Oryzias latipes: one gene and its partners. The protein of the gene in region 1 interacts with the protein of each later gene in a biochemical or structural test. Links are inferred from orthologs where the notes say so. Each region holds a gene or a part of one and is shown in the gene's direction. Other genes may lie near its edges.

What was found.
Region 2: the proteins of pex5 (region 1) and ddo form a complex in vitro, tested with the Homo sapiens proteins (2 studies listed by BioGRID, with this or other methods). The link is inferred for Oryzias latipes from reciprocal best matches to the Homo sapiens genes PEX5 and DDO.
Region 3: the proteins of pex5 (region 1) and pex12 form a complex in vitro, tested with the Homo sapiens proteins (2 studies listed by BioGRID). The link is inferred for Oryzias latipes from reciprocal best matches to the Homo sapiens genes PEX5 and PEX12.

Annotation. Positions count from the first base shown.
Region 1 is NC_019874.2:20,500,549-20,506,726, forward strand, and holds the start of pex5 (peroxisomal biogenesis factor 5), read left to right. Parts: upstream 1-2,052; 5' UTR 2,053-2,248; intron 2,249-4,131; 5' UTR 4,132-4,174; coding exon 4,175-4,288; intron 4,289-4,405; coding exon 4,406-4,444; intron 4,445-4,606; coding exon 4,607-4,724; intron 4,725-4,829; coding exon 4,830-4,976; intron 4,977-5,701; coding exon 5,702-5,786; intron 5,787-6,178.
Region 2 is NC_019880.2:552,597-558,837, forward strand, and holds the start of ddo (D-aspartate oxidase), read left to right. Parts: upstream 1-2,564; coding exon 2,565-2,819; intron 2,820-5,674; coding exon 5,675-5,986; intron 5,987-6,241. Other genes in the region: zinc finger and BTB domain-containing protein 24-like, read right to left, coding at 419-1,157, 1,274-1,355, 1,441-1,524, 1,597-1,677, 1,784-1,983, 2,065-2,272, 2,371-2,566. UniProt on the Homo sapiens protein: Selectively catalyzes the oxidative deamination of acidic amino acids. Suppresses the level of D-aspartate in the brain, an amino acid that can act as an agonist for glutamate receptors. Protects the organism from the toxicity of D-amino acids.
Region 3 is NC_019866.2:23,911,584-23,917,596, reverse strand, and holds the start of pex12 (peroxisome assembly protein 12), read left to right. Parts: upstream 1-2,336; 5' UTR 2,337-2,601; intron 2,602-4,767; 5' UTR 4,768-4,777; coding exon 4,778-4,900; intron 4,901-4,966; coding exon 4,967-5,490; intron 5,491-5,578; coding exon 5,579-5,945; 3' UTR 5,946-6,013. UniProt on the Homo sapiens protein: Component of a retrotranslocation channel required for peroxisome organization by mediating export of the PEX5 receptor from peroxisomes to the cytosol, thereby promoting PEX5 recycling.

The DNA of each region.
Region 1 (6,178 bases):
GTAATAATGTTGTAATTTATGAACCTGTCAATATCTGAGTCACAAAAAAGGAGAGCACATTGTTGTAAGACTTTCACTCATTTCAAGGGTTTTTTCCCCCATTTTTTTGTTTTATTTGTTGACCATATTTTATGTTGTTTTCATTACTTCTAGTAATTTTGGTTTAATAAATGTACAACTGTGTGCTTGTCATTTTTACCTTCCCATCACGCTCCACTCGCCTTTTCCCTTCACCTCTCCATCACTCTCCCTCTGTGTCTCTTGCTGTCTGTGTATCCTATCAATGTGCAGTGCTAAGGTTGTCAGTAAATAAAGCCTCTTGTTTTTGAGTGTGATGTTAAAGAGCCAATAAACATTGCATTAATAAATAACTTATATTAATACTATGTTACGGTTTGGAGATTTACCTGTGATTATCGATACACTGACAATGTGGATTAAGCTGACTAATTGTTACTGAGAAGTGTCAGAAAACATTACAAAATTCATAATAAAAGCCACTATATGACGTCTCCATGAGAAAAGTTTCCTTGCTAGTGTGTGCATTCACTGAAACTGCCACCCAACAAAATCCCAGTATCCATATTAAACTTATTTTCCTGTTAACACACTAACACAATCACTTTCACTTTAACCCTTGTGCTATCTTAGATGACCCCACCCTTACATTGACATGTTCTCCCTACCATGATAAAGGTGGAAAGATTTCATGTAATTCATGGACACCAGTGAGGTTCACAAATCATTGAAGAAAAAAGGTTCAGCGCACTCTCTAGTGGGTCTAGATGACCCAACACCCAATGTTAAAGTGCCTAGGATAGCACAAAGGTTACATCACCTAAAGCAGCAGACAGTATGTCTTATTATATATTATATTACAGTCTTTTACTAGGCCTGCACAATGAATCGCAAATTTATTGTTATTGCAAGATCAAGCTGTGCAATATGCATATTGCAAAAGTCCGCGAAAATTGCAATAAATGGTTACCTTATCTTATGCCAGCGTGAAGTATTTAATGAATCAAATAAATCTCTTTATGGATTTGACCAACCGGATGGACGTCTTCATGTTGTGGTCCAATCGGATGGAGCCCTTTTATGTTAGATGTTCGCCTCCTATGTAGACGAGGGTCATTTGGAGTATAATTTTTAAACTGTTCCAGTGAAATGGGATAGATGTTTTTGGTTGTTTTGCTATTTGTTCATGTACCGCAAGTAATATCGTCATCACAATATTGATCACTAATACTGGATATTGCAAGTTTTTCTGATATGCAGCCCCATGTTTTACCTATTAGATTGTAGATGAGTCGTATGCATTTTGAATTGATATCTCTGTTTTCTAAAAGGTAGCAGTTTTACTTTTATATTGACTGTGAACATTTAAAGTATTTTTAAACATAGTTTGATTTAATTTAATGAGGTTTTCTATGATTTCAATCCATGCATTCATATAAGGCTAAACAATTTTAAAGGAGAACTAGTGTATGGAAAAATGGCCTTGGCTTCTACTGATATCTAATTATATAAAACACAGCCTTCAGCAAACATGACTGAATTCTCCAGCCTACAGGAGCAGAAAATAACAGAACAGTTTGTTCTGCTTAAGTTAATGTATATCACATTGCAATGTTTTTATTTTTGTGGGAGGACTAAAGAGTATCAGTCTGGTAAGATTCACTGGCTTCTAAGAATGGTAATATTATAATTAATAACAATAACAGCTAATGGTGTACCTACCAATGTTGGCAGAGAATAACCTCTTCTGATTAGAAATAAAAGTTTTAAAAAAATCATTTGGGTACACAAATGATGTCTGCAAAACTTCAAGTGAGCCAAACACAAGATGTATTTTACTGTTTACTATTGGCATGAGAAAATTAGAAAATTTGGTTAAATGAAAATAACCTTGGCATGTGAAATTTAATTAAACAATTATCAGTGGCCATTGTATAATTTATTCTATTTTATTTTAATCAATGTAACATAGCTTCTCTCTCTCTCTCTCTCTTCCTACGTAACGTCGTTAAAGAATATACGTAACCTACGTAACGTAACGTACGGCAGATCTCAAAGGAGTCTGTGGATGGTTCTGTGGGTCATGGAGGTGGAAGATAAACATTAGGAGCATAAAGCGGCTGCGGTTCGAACGGTGCTAGATTCAGACACGGCCCTCGGAGCAGAAGCTAGAGAGGACACCCGGGCCACAGAGGAGCGACTGCGGCAGCAGCAGCAGTAGCTGTCGGCGGTGAGATGAACAACAACAACCACCATGCTTATTCAATTCGGACTCACTGTGCCGTACAAGAATGATCTTTGTACCATGTAACCTGCTCGTTAGCTAACTCTAGCCATGCTTATGTTAGAGTCGAACTCTTTAGGTATTAATATGTTTTCTTTCTGTCTAATATTGGGGTTTTTAATGGGTTGAGGTTGACTACACAAAGACGAAACACATCCTGACACATGTAGCTAATTTTACCGTTTGGGACTGAGGCTACAGTTAGCTTAGGTTAGTGCAGAACCTCTGTACACTCTGATGCCAATATTTGTAGTTACTCCCAACTATGTGTGCACATTTAAAAGATACATTAAGATTGCCTTGATTAAAACATTTACGTTGCTCTTCCAAATACCTGAAGTGTGACGTAGACGTGTGTCTAACTAAGGCAGCATGTGTTGTCTGTGACAATATTTTATTAATATCTTTGTTAATCCTCTTACTACTTCGATCCTAATCATTATGCAGCGGTCAGAGGTGTGACTCACTAGGATGCTTATGCCAACACTAAAAACGATGAGATTTATTTTGGGGAGATGACAGTTGGACAGAAAAAAAGATTGCAATTCTCTTATGTATGTATGTATACTTTACGTGATTAGTTGTTTTTTATTTTATTTAGTTGATGCAAGCTTGTATTCCTTGTTTTTTATTTTTTACTGTTATTATTTTCATAATTAGATCCTTGTGTGTATGTTTACATCGTGACTGATCTATCTATTCTAGAGGCGATTGTAACATTTTTACACGAGTCTGTCCCCACACAGCTCAGACCTTCAGACCTGAGGCTTTAAGACCTCACAGCAGTCTGAATGCACTCATCCATACAGAATAAAAGCTTTTCTTCATTGTGAACACTGTAACCCAGGGAAAGCACAAATTGCCCCAAATCAATTTTGATTCACTATGTAAATGTGTGGTAAACATCCCCGTGCGCTGCAAGGCTTACAATCCGTGTCCTCATTATTAACAGTTCACTAAAAGCCATTAACTGGCATGAAAATGCGACAGATGGAGTTTTAAATTTGTTGACAAGGCATGGGGCTTTTTGTGCAATGTTTAAACCCTCAGGCTTTCTCTTCATCTGGCTCGTCAGCTGTTAAATGATTCGTTTTCTGGACCTTTTATGTGGAGCTAAAATGTAAAAAGAAAGAGCAATATTGCATGTTTGTGATTGTATTCGTAAGATGGCAGCAACTGGCAGGTTTAATTTATAATAAAACACTTGACAGAAACCAGGAAGTGATTCAAGATAATACTTTGAAGCTCAGATTTTAAAGAATATTAATAATGCTGCATTTCCTCTCAGATATCTTACTATGTTTGGTGACAAAATACACATTTGATTTTTTTTGTTCAGATTTCAGATACGAATAGTTTGGGATACAATATGTCATAGCTCTAAATATTTGGATTTGGATTTGGAAATGGTTTATTTCAAGCAATCAGAGCAAAAAGAATGCAAAAACAAGACGAACAACAGAAATGTAAATCTATACAAAGATATTTCAAACATAGGATAGTTATTCATTCAAATATGATTACGTTCACGGACACTAATAAATAATTTAATTCTTAATCTTAATCATAAATAAATATATTTGTGAAAAAGTGTCTTGGTAAGTTTTTGGCAGTATTTAGAGTTTCAGTTTGCCAATAAAAGTTGTTTCCAGTCCTTTTCATTTTTTGGTCAAAGTCTAAGTTAAAGTAATCAGTCATTTTTAATTCATTTTATTGTCATTTGCACAACAGTCCTTTGTTCATAAATCTATTTAATCTGTTGCTTTCATTTTTTGTTGTGAAACAGAAATGCATGTATTTCGCAATCCTTATTTATTTATTTTTTTTAGCTTTTACGTACTCTAGTGGGGTTTGCCTCTTCCTTCCGTTGCCATGGCGATGCGAGAATTGGTGGAGGCCGAATGTGGTGGAGCCAATCCCCTCATGAAGTTGGCCAGTCACATGACCAAAGAAGAGGGGACATGGCAGCACCGCACCAGCCCTGCAGTGAGTAATGTTGGGCATTACTAACTAATGTAACATTAGCTGTTTTTTTTATTCCATTACAGCAGAATAAAATGCATTTAATGAACCGGTTCTGTTTTCTTTACCGCTTTTTCTCAGATTCCACCAACTCCTATTGAAATTGCAACCGAACAAGAGGTCTGTTTAGTTTTCTGTCCCTTTATACTAAAATATCCTTTTAAATATTTGAAATATTCACCTCAAGTTTTTAGAATTGTTATATTTTATGCATGAAAGCTATCTTTCAAATACTTACAGCTGTGAAATGTTTTTTCTTTTTTTTTTTGGTTTTTGCTCCAGTTGGTGAATGAGTTCCTTCAGGCCCCGCCACGCCCCCCCACCACATTTGACATGGGTCAGCTATTAGAGGAAATGCAGCAGATCGATCAGCAAAGCTACAGACAAGCTCCACAGAGAGGTGCACATCATTCTTCCAATTTATTCATACATTTTATACAATTTTTCTCTCTGCCATGTGATCTCAGCACATTTCAGAAAATGATATCCTCACTTCTTGTTTTAGCTCCTGATGTGGCCGCACTGGCCCTCTCTGGTGATTGGGCTGCCGAGTTCCTCTCCAGTTCGGATTCTGCCACCACACCGGGTCTCACCTCTCTTGGTGATTCAGCAGATTCTGATTGGACCAGAGAATTTATTGCTGAGGCTGCAGGTAACTGGAGTTTCTTCCGGTCTATGATTTACTGCAGTTGTCTCACTGATTTAGCGGATCTAACTGTTATCACATTTTAATGTTTATAAGCTACAATATGTACATTACAAATGTCTTTAAAGTCCCCCTCCATTAAAAATCATGTTGTTGTTTTTTTATGTATATCTGACATTTTTCTTATGAAAGAGAACAAATGTAATAAAAAATAATTTCTTTTTTTCATTTCTGAGTATTTCTCCTTTTAAATCAGTGGCAATTAAACTGACGCAAAGACGCGCTGTTTATATGAATGAGGCGTTGTGATGTCACAATGGCCTAGTAGTGCAAGCGCATTGCAGAAGCTCCCTGATCTGCCCCGCCAGGCGTGCACAAGCTCAGGTGCGTGAGAAGAGAAGATGGTGCATTGCTGCATTGCCTGCACATATTTTAAGTGCATCCAAGGCTGGATTTTGTTTTTGACCACATGTATGAAAAAAATCAAAGTGGCCGAACCGCGTTTGGCCCCTTGATCAAAGGTGGGGCTACTCAGCTCAGCACCAACAGCCACACCCATGTAGAGGAGATTTTGGAAACGGAGGCTTCAGATAAACATGAAATATGCCTTTTTACAACATTTAGGTTGTGGGATTTTGATTCAAAACTTCAGAATTATAATCAAAACACAACATTTTTTTAATTGTCATAGGGGGACTTTAATTTATTCTGTTTAATGTATTCCTCTCCAGACCCTGGACGCTGGGCAGAGGAGTATCTAGAGCAGTCTGAGGAGAAACTGTGGCTCGGAGACCTTGGAGACAAGGAAAGTGAATGGTGAGAGGTGGGCCATGCAAAGCGTGTGGATAATAAAGTGTTTGCAGGAAAAAGTCCTTCAGGCAAGCATCAGTGAGTGCGCAGTGGCAGCCTGACACCCCTACAGGAACAAAAGAGGAAAAGCTCCAAGGGAGACAAACGATAACAGATCTGAATGCAGATTTAAACCTTGAACGCTTTCTTAAGCGAATGTGTCGTTTTATGTCCACCCATTTACTTTTATCCTCTTCTAACTTTATGCATTGAGGCTAATTGTACCCAGAGCTGTCCATGCATACATATAGGGCCGTCTGAATTCTAAAGCTAATGTATAGAATATCGGCCTTGGCTTCTACTGACGTCTATTGAAAGCACAGCCTTCAGCAAACCTGAGTATTATCTCCAACCTACAT
Region 2 (6,241 bases), on another chromosome or scaffold:
TTATTTTATTTTTTACAAATGTGATGAACTGAGAATTCTGCAGAATTTATCACTAAAATGGTTTCAACTTTTCAAAGTAAAAGTTTCTTCAGGTTGGAGCTTGCAGCTTTAACTACTAAATCACTCAGCTGCTGAGGTCGGAGGTCGGCCTCATCCACCAGAACCTCCACCCTCAGCTTTTAATCTGAAAATCTAAACTGGATGCTGGATCTGAACCTCACAATCCCCTATCATCATGCTCCCACCACCAGGCTTCCCAAAGATCACAGACCTGAAGAGAAAAAACTTTATTTCCAAAAGGTTCTCCAGTTTGTTTCTGTTTTCAGAAGGGGGGGGGCGCTTCAGCTCAGATTCTGATCCAAAATCATCCAAAGAACCTCAGCGTTTACCTGGGGTGGGGGCGATTCATGACATGAACTCAGGAGCCCGGAAGCTTCTGCAGAGGCGTGGTCTCAGGAGGGGGCGTGTCCTGGGGGAGCCCGCTGGCGTACAGGTAGGACACGGTTCCAGCCTGGATCTGGAAGCTCTGCCCCTGGATGTGGTGGCTGCAGAGCTGCTGGCCGGTCTGGCTGATGGAGATGGGCTGGCCGCTCTGGCTGCTGACGTGAATGGCCCGGCTCGGTGGCCTGCTCACCTGTCCAGGTGCGGTGCCGTGGGAGGGCGGGGTGTCGTGGTGGGCCTGCAGCTGCTCCACCGCCTCCTTGCTAAGCGTGATGATGTGCATCTGCTCAGGGTGGGGGTCCAGCATGCTGACTGCGTGAATCGGAGGAGTCACGGCATCGGTCTGAGCAAGCAGCGTGAACTTGGAGTGGGTGGGGTGAGCTGCGCCCCCGTCAGCAGCCAGGAGGCTGATCTCCTGCTGACCTGCAGCAAAGCTAAGGTTCTGGTCCGTCACCAGCAGCTGGATCTCCGGCTCTGAGCCGAGGGGGGGCTGCAGCAGTAAGGCGCCGCGCGGCTCCTCCTGCGCGTCCGCGGCGCCACCCTCCCTGCTGTGCGTTTTGGCATGCGTCTTCAGGTTGTCAAGGCGGGTGAAGGACAGGCTGCAGACGGAGCAGGTGAAGGCTTTCTTCCCTGAGTGGGTGGCGGCGTGGCGCCGCCTGGCGCTCGGGTCCGAGAAGGTCTTCCCGCAGACGCCGCAGTCAAAGGGCTTCTCCCCTCTGCAGCCACAGAAAAATGGTGCATTTTTACAATGCATATGGAAGTCTGCAAACATCCATTTGAAAAGATCTGTGAGGGGGTGGAGGGGGAGGCCCCGCCCTCCTCCTGGACTCACCTGTGGATCCGGATGTGTGTCTGCAGCGTGCTCTTGGCGGTGAAGCACTTTCCACAGATCTCACAGGTGAACGGCTTCTCTCCTGTGGACGCAAGGCTGTTCTTAGACGTCCAGACCGAGCCCCCCGCCCCCGGTGGGAGGGGCCTTAACCGAGCCCCGCCCCTTACCTGTGTGAGTCCTCAGATGCTTCTTCAGCTGGGCCGTGTCCATGAACCTGCGCTGACACTCGGCACACTCTGGTAAGGATTTACCTGGGGGGGGGGGGGGGGCTCTGAGCTGCAGGTTTCTTTGTGGGGGGGGGGGCTGTGTGCAGGTGTCCTCACCTGTGTGGGTTCTGTAGTGGTTCTTTAGCTGCCTCTTCTGAGTGAAGCTCTTCTCACATTTGTCACAGGTGAAGGTCTTCTCTGTGGACACAGAACAAAGAGTTGATCCAAAGTTCTGATCCTGTTAGGATCAGCTGGGGTTCTGTGGGGGGGGGTCCATCAGCGATCAGATGCAGCTGCCACTGACTGGGTGGGTTCTTGGGGTCGGTGGGGGCAGACCTTGGTGCAGGCTCATGTGCTCCTGCAGCGAGTGCTTGGAGGACAGCGACTTGGAGCAGACGGCGCAGACGAAGGGCCGCTCCCCGCTGTGGACGCGCTGGTGGGCCTGCAGCGTGTGCTTCTGGGTGAAGCTCTTCCCGCAGGCGGAGCAGTGGAAGGGCTTCTCTCCTGGGGGGCAGAGAAGGCGGGCGTCCCATGACTCAACTTCAGTCGGGGGGGGGGTAACTGACTCCTGCTGGGGGGTCCTACCTGTGTGAGTCCTCCTGTGAACCTGCAGGAACAGGTGGTGTTTGAAGACTTTCCCGCAGTCCCTGCATCGCGCCTCTGAGGGGGGGTGTCTCTTCCTGCCCCCCCTCCGTCCCGCCTCCTCTTCCTCCTCCCCCCCGGCACGGTCGCTGCTGACCTTGTAGCCTCTGAACTTGGCCGGGGGCCGCACTTTGCGCTCGCTGTGGCGCCTCTGCGTGGCCGCGTCATCAGTGGGCGGGGCTTCGCCCTCCTCCCTCCGGGGCCGTCCTCGTTTGCGCCGCAGCAGCTTGGTTGCCCCCCCGCCGTCACGGCTCGGCTCGGTGAGCGCTCGCACCAGCTCCCCCAGCTCCACGCGCCGCGCCGCGCTCAGCAACGGCGCGGCGGCGCGCTCCTCCACGCGCACCTGTGCGCCGTAGATGAAGTCGAGCGCGGCCGCGAAGGCGTCCGCCGTCATGCCGTCCAGGCGGAGGGTGGAGGGGTGGAGCTGCTCCCCCGCCGTGAACATGACGGAGAAGAAGTCGCTGCTGGCCGCGAGCAGCGCTTTGTGCGCCTTGAAGCGCACGTCCTCCACCACCAGCGTGACGTCACACAGCTGCTCCTCGCGGCGGAGCTCATCAAACCTGCGGAGCACGCGCTGCTCGTGCGAGCGCGCGGCCACCAGCGGCGAGGCTGGTCCTTTCCGAGACATCTATGCCCCCCCCCACGAGCAGCTGAGCCGGGAGCCCCTGCAGGAGGAGGAGGATGAAGAGGAGATTCAGGTTGGTTTCATTTCATCCAATGAAGAATTTCAATTTTCGTAAAAGATCCTGACAGAAAGTCTAAAAAAAAGCATTTTGTCTTTAGAAACCCGTTTTTTATTGGACAGTGTTGATATAGATATGACTGCTTGTAACAGTACCTATTTAGTGACCAGAAGGCGGCGCTGTTCTACCAGACATGTGAGTAATCAGAACCTGCCCATATAAGGAGGATGTTCACTTCCTTCCTCCTCTGTCTGTTTTGCTCGGCCTGTTGAGAAAAACGTGTCTGTCCGTCTGATTGGGTCAGAATTGTCCCGCTGCAGGTGGACAAACGGCATCAGCCTACCTGCAGGTTATGGTTCCAGAGACCCAGACGACGGACACATGCACAGCGGAAATGAGCTGGAAGTAGCAGCTAGCTTAGCTATGGACACAAAATGGCGAACAGAACCAAGATTAAATGTCCCACATTGGACGGGAGAGCAGAGGGGCATGAACCCTGAACGTTTCAGTGTAGGACTGAAGCAGACGGTCCTGAACGATCCGGCCGGACCTCCGTCAGCGGATGAACAAGCACCAGGGGCCTCATTTCTAAAGGTTGCGTACGCACAAAAGAAGGCGTACGCCACTCTCTACGCAATAGTTGAGATTTATAAAAAGCAAACTTGAGGGGAAAATGTGCGGTCCTCCACGCTCTGACCCAGGCGTACGCACAAAAACGGGTGAAAGGAGAAACGGCGACACCGTCGGCAGATGGAAGAAACACGTGAAAGTGAAAATGACAATACTGCCTCTCAGAAATAACATGAAGACTTCACAAAGCAAGTCTGACAATTAACAGCTACACAAACACCCGTTTGATCGATCAGCAGTGAAACAAACAAAAAAGATCAAACAAAAATTACAACAGAAATTCAAATGAACACATATTTGCAAAAAGAAAAGTGAAATATGTTCTGCAAATTGGCATGTTGTGCAATTCATCCTCATAAATAATATAGTTAACAGAACGAAATAATGTACAGAACTGATATTCTCGTCAGTGTGTCCGTCTGGAGGAGCAGATATAGTCAAAGTCAGCTTTATTGTCAAATATGCTGCATCCGTAAGACATACAGCACAGATGAAATTGCTTTCCTCCCACCCCACAGTGCAAGCAGCATGTACAATAATAAATAAACGACTTACGACTTAAAATACATTCTTTTAAAAACAATAAATCCTTGAAACCCAAAAAGATAAAGCCAAAAAACACTTAAGGTAGGGGAGAGAGGAGCCGCTGCGTGTGCACGCGCCGCCAGATGCGTGCGAATCAGACAGACGGACGGATGCATTAATTGTCCACTGGGGAAAGTTGTTTTCATATTAAAACATTTCTTCATAAGCTATGGAATTATGGTATTCATGCATATGCCTTTAGTTTGTTTTATTTTTGATAAAACAATGTATGGCGTATGTCTCAACCATTCATAAAGCAACAAGAAATTACATTTGCTGATCAATTTCCCATTTCCACGTCGATTATTACCGACATCTGTAGCTTGTCAGATGTAATTAAATGGATGGAAATAAAATGCCCCATCACAATGCGTAATGACGCACAATGGCTGATCTTGTGCTCTTGGAAGATGTGGCAAATGGAAGAATTCGGAGAGAACGCATCTTTAGACAGCAAGAAGACTTGCTGGCAAACGAGGACGAGTGTCTTATGAGCCGGTTCCGACTTCTTCGAGCCGTCCCTTTGGACCTCTGCGGGCTTTTGGGGGGGTGTCACCCGGTGCATCTGGCGCGTCGTGTCCCCCTGCGCCTCAGTCACCACTCCCCTTAAGGGATTCCCCAATTATTGCCGCCAGTCTCTCAAGAGGGGTCAGCTCCGGTGTCCCCCCCCCCCCCCCGTGGCAGACACACTCTGGCGATGCAGCGCCAGACGCTTTTTTGCCGCGACTTTGATGTCCGACCATTTCTTTTTTACTTCGGCCACGGTCCGAGGTTGTTAGGCTACAGCATTTTCACGTGTCTTTTTGGCTTTAGTAATGCCCACACTGTGCCCTCCAAACAACACTTTTCTCCTCTTTTCCACCTCGCCAACGATAAATTCTACTTCACAGTGAGTGAAGTTACGTTTTTTTCATTTCCTCTCTGTGTTGCCATGGTTTCGCAATCAATGAATATTCATTTGTGGGCGTTTCACGGACTATTTATGGGCAACTATGGGCGTGTCATGAAGCCGCAAAAGCTGCGCTGCATTTAGAATCGGTTGTGATTTATTAAGGGAAAGATGCGTAGGATGTGCGTGCGCACGGTTTTATAAATCTGAATATTTCTGTGCGTGCGCACGTCCTATGTTTCATCCGTACGCCACTTCTGACGCAAATCCTACGCAAAGCTTTATAAATGAGGCCCCAGATGACTAGCTTAACGCTGATGCATACTGGCCGCTGGCGCCATTATTGAACAATACCAGCTTGGGCCTGATATTCAGAGACACTAAAGACGAGGGCCGAGAGTCTCGGAGTGTTAAGACTGTTACGGAGTAGATCATCAGGGCGGAGCAAACCATTACAGCGCTCATGAGTGCGGGTGAAGCTCCGAGCGACGGATGGATGACGGCGATGATTATGAGGGGACTACCCGAAAAAAACAGGGCATTATGCACAGCTCTGCAGACATGAAGCTGGGAGAGTTCAAAGCCAAATTCAGGAACTCTGAAGATATAGACCCCAGAGATGACCAGACGGTAGAGAGAGTGCTGACAGCCCGAGCGGCCTCAAAGAAAAAGAGCGGACCCCCAACGGACCTGGTGTGTTGGAGATGTGGAGACAAAGGACAGAAAAAAGACGACTGCTCAAAGAAAGCTGCTGTATTCCCCACAGACGGAGCCTGCAGAAAGAAAGAACGTGGACGGGTTAAAGCTCAAGACGACTGCTGCGACAGCAGAAGCCATGAAGCGCATTGCAGACGGGTCGACACCAGGGGAGCCGCAAAAAAGGCAGACTTCACGTTTAAGACAGAGACGAAAGACGCCAGCGGAGCAGATCCAGGTAAAAGGACGAGTCGTCCCACTTTATCAACGACAGGAGCCGGTCAAGAGCTTCAACAGCACCTCCAAGCCAGAGAGACACAGCATGGAGCTGGCAGACGGAGGGCGTACTTCTGGGTTGGCACAAGGCAGAGGGGATGCACAGGTACGTCTCCTCAACAGTAAAGGGCGCCGATGACGTTGAAGAACGCCGTCTACATCCCCTCATGAAGTGTGACACTGCTAATGGTGCCAAGGGACACTTTGATGAGGGTGAAAATGTTCTTGAGGTGCCTGATGGCACCAGATTTACCAATGTGATGTGAAAATAATGTTCTAATGTTCAAACCTGGCACGAAATCATGGGTCACTGCATCTACGAAGACATACTGCGATTGCAGGAGGTAACAGTAGGCATGCA
Region 3 (6,013 bases), on another chromosome or scaffold:
AATGGTCTGATTTCCAGTTATCACAAGTTACGGTTGATTTCTGTCATTTGAACACAGGAGTGGAGCACTCAGACCACTGCAGCGCACTATTTCCCCTTTTTCCCTGCAGCAAAAAAAGAAAAACACAACTGTGTCAGCTTTTGTTACCATGACTGGTTCCATATCAAGCTCAACAATTGCAATTCCTAATTCTTTCTGTCTAATGTAAACATATTTACTAAAACAGAAAATACAAACACTTTCTACCAGTTTTTGTGATGTTTTTATCTTCTTTTGGATTTGTGTTAAAGTTGCACCAGTGAATTCCCATCTTCCAGGTATGCAAGACAAAAATGCACAACACTGCCTGCAGCGAAGCATCATCTTGGCAAATTATATTGCATGTTCAAAATTGATTTGATTTGTATCACTGCTCCCAGTTTTTTGTAAGTCCTACCAGAAAGCCCCATATTTAATTTGTATTAAAAGCATCTGTGCAAAATGCATAAACCGTGTTGTCATGTCTGTTTAGAAGTCACCTACTAAAGCCAGAATGGAAAGAAGTTTGTGTAAATTATGTAAATTGTGCCTATGGTTCCTTTTTAGATCCACATGAACTATACTAAAAGTAATGGGAAGTAAGACAGGAGCTGTAGATCCACCAAAATACTTCAGAAAAGATCATAAAACGTGGATACTTTATTCTTTTTGTCCCCGTAAACATAGACCCTGATTCACCACATGAAATTACAAAAACTCAAGGAACTTTGACTAAAAGTCAGAAAAGGCAAAGTAAGCAACAGTACACACACACACACACACACACACACTGGTCAAACCTTTACTTGTAAATGAAGTCCATTCGTGTCTCCTTCTGGACAAAAATCTCTGTGACTTTAACGTAAAAAACCCTTCTTATCTTCTTTCCGTTACAGAAGTCTCAATAAAGATGTGTGCTCAGCGTCGGCCATCCATTAATTATTACTTAATGTTATAAATCAAAGTCCACCTTTGAATCTTTTTTCTTTTTCTTTTAACTTGTTCTTTCCAACAACTGAGCAAACAGATGAGAGCTGGCGGCCATTTCCTTTGGACAGGTTTTACTACAATAAGGGGGTTATGTATGTATCTTCGGATAAGGGTGTATAGCCCATCGAGACGACTGTTGTTGTGATTTTGGGCTATACAAATAAAATTGAATTGAATTGAATTGAATATATTTGGATAAGCCCCTTTTTTTATTTTATTTATTTATTTATTACAAATTATATTTTAATATATATTTTCTTTCTCTTTTCTTACAGAGGGAGAAGAGAGAGGAAAAATGTGAAAGTTTTTCTCTGCAGAAGACATTGGACTCGTGAATAATCGTTACAAAACTCTCATATCAATTAGATTTCGAATTCTTGAAATTGATGACGACATATTTGCCGTTAAAAAAAAAAGTAGTGAGCATGGTGTCCAAATTACTTTTAAAATCCAGAGCACTACATAGTGCTGTACTGTGTAGTTTTTTAGTAGTTAAGGAGTAGGGTAGGAATTCAGACACAGCCACAAAATACTGGCTCTCATTGAATAAACTTTATTAGTAACAAATGTGGAACAAACGAGTTCACCAGCGCCCTCTCTGTTGAGACGGTGCTACTGCGTACCTCAACGACTTATCTTTTCAGTGCGGTTTTGTGTCACATTTTTAACACAAACGAGACATACATGAAACACATTAAATGTTAAATGGGAAGGGATGACATGCAACAACATTTTGTACAATTAAAGTTTATTTTAAAATAAAGCATTACATTTACGCTGTTATATATTTGGGGTGGTTAAGGGGTTGCTTTGCTAAAAATCGTATTGAGCCTAAACATGACCACACTCCATGGCACAGGACATGACAACGTCAAAAAAGCAATAAAAAGCATAAACAGTTAAATTATAACAGTAAAATATAAATTATTCTTGGCCTGTTTGGATTTTGACCAAATGAGGAGGAAAGAACCTGGCGGAAAATTATAAAAAGAAAAAAAAATAGAGCACCGCAACAGTCTGATGCAAAGTGACTGTTTTTTTGTTGTGAAAATGTTTTGGTTTATGAATAAATACACATAAATAATTTATACTAACAAGCAGATCTAAGCATAACATTATTAATTATGGATAATAGTAGATCAGGTTTTCCATAGTTGATGAAAACAAAAAAAGATTGAAGGATGGATAAAAAAAAGTGTTTCACTTTATCTACGCATGATTCTATCTTTAAAATAACAATGCAAGTCTTCTTAAAGCACATTTACCTTTTTTTTTCTTTTTTAGCAAAGCAATAAGGATAGAAAAGGAATTATTAGACGATGTGCTTGCAGACAAAAGCTGAAAAACTCGGGAAGTTTCTGTTGGAACGTCTGGTTGAAATGAACTGCAGACGTCCCGCCCTGCGCTTCCGCCTCTGTCCAGCAGGTGGCAGCAACGCTGATGAAAGCTGACAGTTCAGAGAAGAAGAGAAGGCGGAAGAAACAAAACCAAATCACCAGAACCGATCCGAATCTCTGCAAGGAGCCTCCAACGCCGTGGTTGGGATCGATACCAACAGTCCAGTTCTGATGCTGAGGGCGTGAACCCGGCCCGGTTTGTTTGTTTTTTTCTTTTTATCTTAGTGTTCCCGCCTCGAACCGGACCGGGTTGGTACTGATCAGGCATACCATAAGTCACTCACACAGCTGTAACGTGGCTTTTGAGCCGGTTCTGTTCGGATCTGAGTTCAGTTGAAGTGAAAGAATCGCAAAAAGTTCTGATCGCGACTGCGCATGTCCAGACATCCATGTGCCTTAAAAAGAGAACGTGTTTGGCACGGTAGATTGTTGTTGTTGTTAAAATGTGCAAACTACAGCAAACATACAGAACAAATGGAACTATTAAAATGCTAGGAGATGGCATATGAATACAAAACATGCATCATAATAAATTAAAACTGTTCATAGGCAGACAATATGTATTTATGATTATTTTGTTTAACACTATGGGAAATGGTGAGATTCTATTGCTTGAATTCTTACAGGGAAAAAAGTTGGGATGAAGAGAATGTAGCTTTGTGTAGATGAGACTGAAAAAAATAGAATCTATACAGTACAGACCTCATTTAAATGAATGGGAAGGTGTGTCCAAACCTTTGGTCTGTACTGGATGTCAATTGCATAGGTTGATTGGCAACTCTAAATTGTCCATAGGTGTGAGTGTGAGAGTGAATGGATGTCTGATTGAGGATATTCTACCCTGCGACAGACTGGTCGCCAGTCCAGGGCATCCCTTGCCCACGCCAAAGTGGCTGGGATAGGCTCCGGCAACCCCGTGACCCCGAAAGGGAATAAAACGGTTAAGAAGATGAATGAATGGATGTCAATTGCAATTTTTATGTTCAATTTTGTGTTGTTTTCATACATTCTTTTTTTTTTTAGGTAATATCTCACTCTCTAAATAAGTCACTAATTGTTTCTGGGTTTGTTTTACAGAGTGTACAGTTGTATTGACATGTTTTAAATCTTTACATGAACTGATTAGTGGAGTAGATTCTATGTAGGAATTCATTGATTCTCAATGAATCATTTCTGAGGCACTGTCCAAACATTTTTTCAAGTCAGGGACAAAGTTTTTCTAACAGAAGACAGCAGAAGAAACAGAAAAAAACATGTTGTACGTGGTCACACAGGTGGGCCTGTGGATTCACAGGTGGGCCTGCAGACTCTCAGGTGGGCCTGTGGATTCACAGGTTGGCCTGTGGATTCACAGGTGGGCCTATGGATTCAGAGGTGGGCCTGTGGATTCACAGGTGGGCCTGCAGACTCTCAGGTGGGCCTGTGGATTCACAGGTGGGCCTGCAGACTCTCAGGTGGGCCTGTGGATTCACAGGTAGGCCTGTGGATTCACAGGTGGGCCTGCAGACTCTCAGGTGGGCCTGCAGACTCTCAGGTGGGCCTGTGGACTCTCAGGTGGGCCTGTGGATTCACAGGTGGGCCTGTGGATTCACAGGTGGGCCTATGGATTCAGAGGTGGGCCTGTGGATTCACAGGTGGGCCTGCAGACTCTCAGGTGGGCCTGTGGACTCTCAGGTGGGCCTGTGGATTCACAGGTGGGCCTGTGGATTCACAGGTGGGCCTATGGATTCAGAGGTGGGCCTGTGGATTCACAGGTAGGCCTGTGGATTCACAGGTGGGCCTGCAGACTCTCAGGTGGGCCTGTGGATTCACAGGTAGGCCTGTGGATTCACAGGTGGGCCTGCAGACTCTCAGGTGGGCCTGTGGATTCAGAGGTGGGCCTGCAGACTCTCAAGTGGGCCTGTGGACTCACAGGAAACGGTAACAAAGTGACCTTAATAAAGTTCATGCAGAGATTTCTAATGGGAACCTGGTCCATCTTATAAAAAACCTCTTAGAACAGTTCTTAGTTTTCCCGCTCCGATCATTTTTTGATCTATTCACCATTATGTTGTTTTTGACTAAAATTTTTAAAAAATCTGTCGTTTTCTAGGACATAGTTCCTGCAGAGTGGCAGGAGTTCATTAGAAATTCCCCTCTGAACTGTGGTGCACAGCAACCCCGCCCCCCGTTTCCATCACATATAACATAGACCTTTTTGTCAACACTCTGTCCCTCACACCCCCAACCTAACACTAGCAGAAAATGGCGAGCAACATCAGAGCCATCTAGCTGTACAGTTTGGTAAAAATTGGACCCAGTCTGTTCTGGTTCTGGACCCACCTGCACCGTTCCTCTAACATCCAGTGGTTTGGTCCCTCAGGCCGGCAGCCATGGCCGAGGCGGGGGCCCATCTCACCTCCACCTCCATCGGTGAGCAGCCGTCCATCTTTGAGGTTCTGGCCCAGGAGTCGCTGCTGGAGGCCGTCCGTCCGGCGGTGCAGCACGCCGTCAAGGTGAGGCTCCAATAGTTCTGGCTCCTCACTAGAAGAACGCCAGCTCTGACTCTCTGACCGCTTCAGGTTCTGGCGGAGTCCAGCCCGGCCCGCTTTGGCTGTCTGTGGAGGACTTTTGATGAGCTCTACTTGCTTCTGGACCTGCTGCTCCAGAACCACTTCTTGTCCCGCTACAGCGCCTCCTTTTCTGAGAACTTTTACGGCTTAAAGAGAGTGTCAGAAGGGCGGGAACGTCCTGTGCACAAGGGGCTGCGCCGTCCCGCCCACTGGCGCTCTCTTCTTTTGCTGTGCCTGGTTCCGTACCTGCGGGCCAAACTGGAGGCCCGGCTGGTCCGGCAGAGGGATGAGGAGGACTTCTCCATCCAGTTGGCACGGTCGAGGACACGGAGGCTGTACAGCGCGGCGGTGGCGGCGTTCCCGTACATCAGCTCGGCGTGGCGCGTCTGGGTCTTCTGCCAGCAGCTGCTCTTCGTCTTTGGATCCTCCAGAACCCACAGCCCGCTGCTCTGGCTGGCCAGGGTCCGACTGACCCGACTGACTGCTGCAGATTTCCGAAACATCGAGGGGTCTGACGACCCCGCTCACAGCAGGTAGACCCAGTTCTGTCCTGGTTTTAGAGGTTTAGGTCCAAAGTGGCAGAAAAAAAATGTTCTTAACCATGTTTCTGTTTGGCTGCAGGGTCGGTTGGATGATGTCACAGGCGGCGAGGGGCGTGGCCACCTCTCTGTCCACCTTCCTGTCCATGGGCGTCTTCTTCTTGCAGTTCCTGGAGTGGTGGTACTCGCCAGACAACCAGAGCACCGTGAGGGGTCTCACGTCCCTGCCTGCACCCCCGCCCCCCCTCCACCTGCAGCAGGACTCGAACAGCCGGAGCTGCCCGCTCTGCCACAAGTTGTGCGCCAATGCCACGGCGCTGTCCACCTCCAGCTTCGTCTTCTGCTACCCGTGCATCTACGCGCACGTGAAGGAGCACCGCTGCTGCCCCGTCACAGGCTTCCCCAGCGCACCTCAACACCTCATTAAGATCTACGCGCCTGAGGGTTAGAGCGACGGCGCCTCCCGCTGGACTCACGCGTCCGCTGCTGAGAAATAAAATCACCAAGCCGTAGGCTT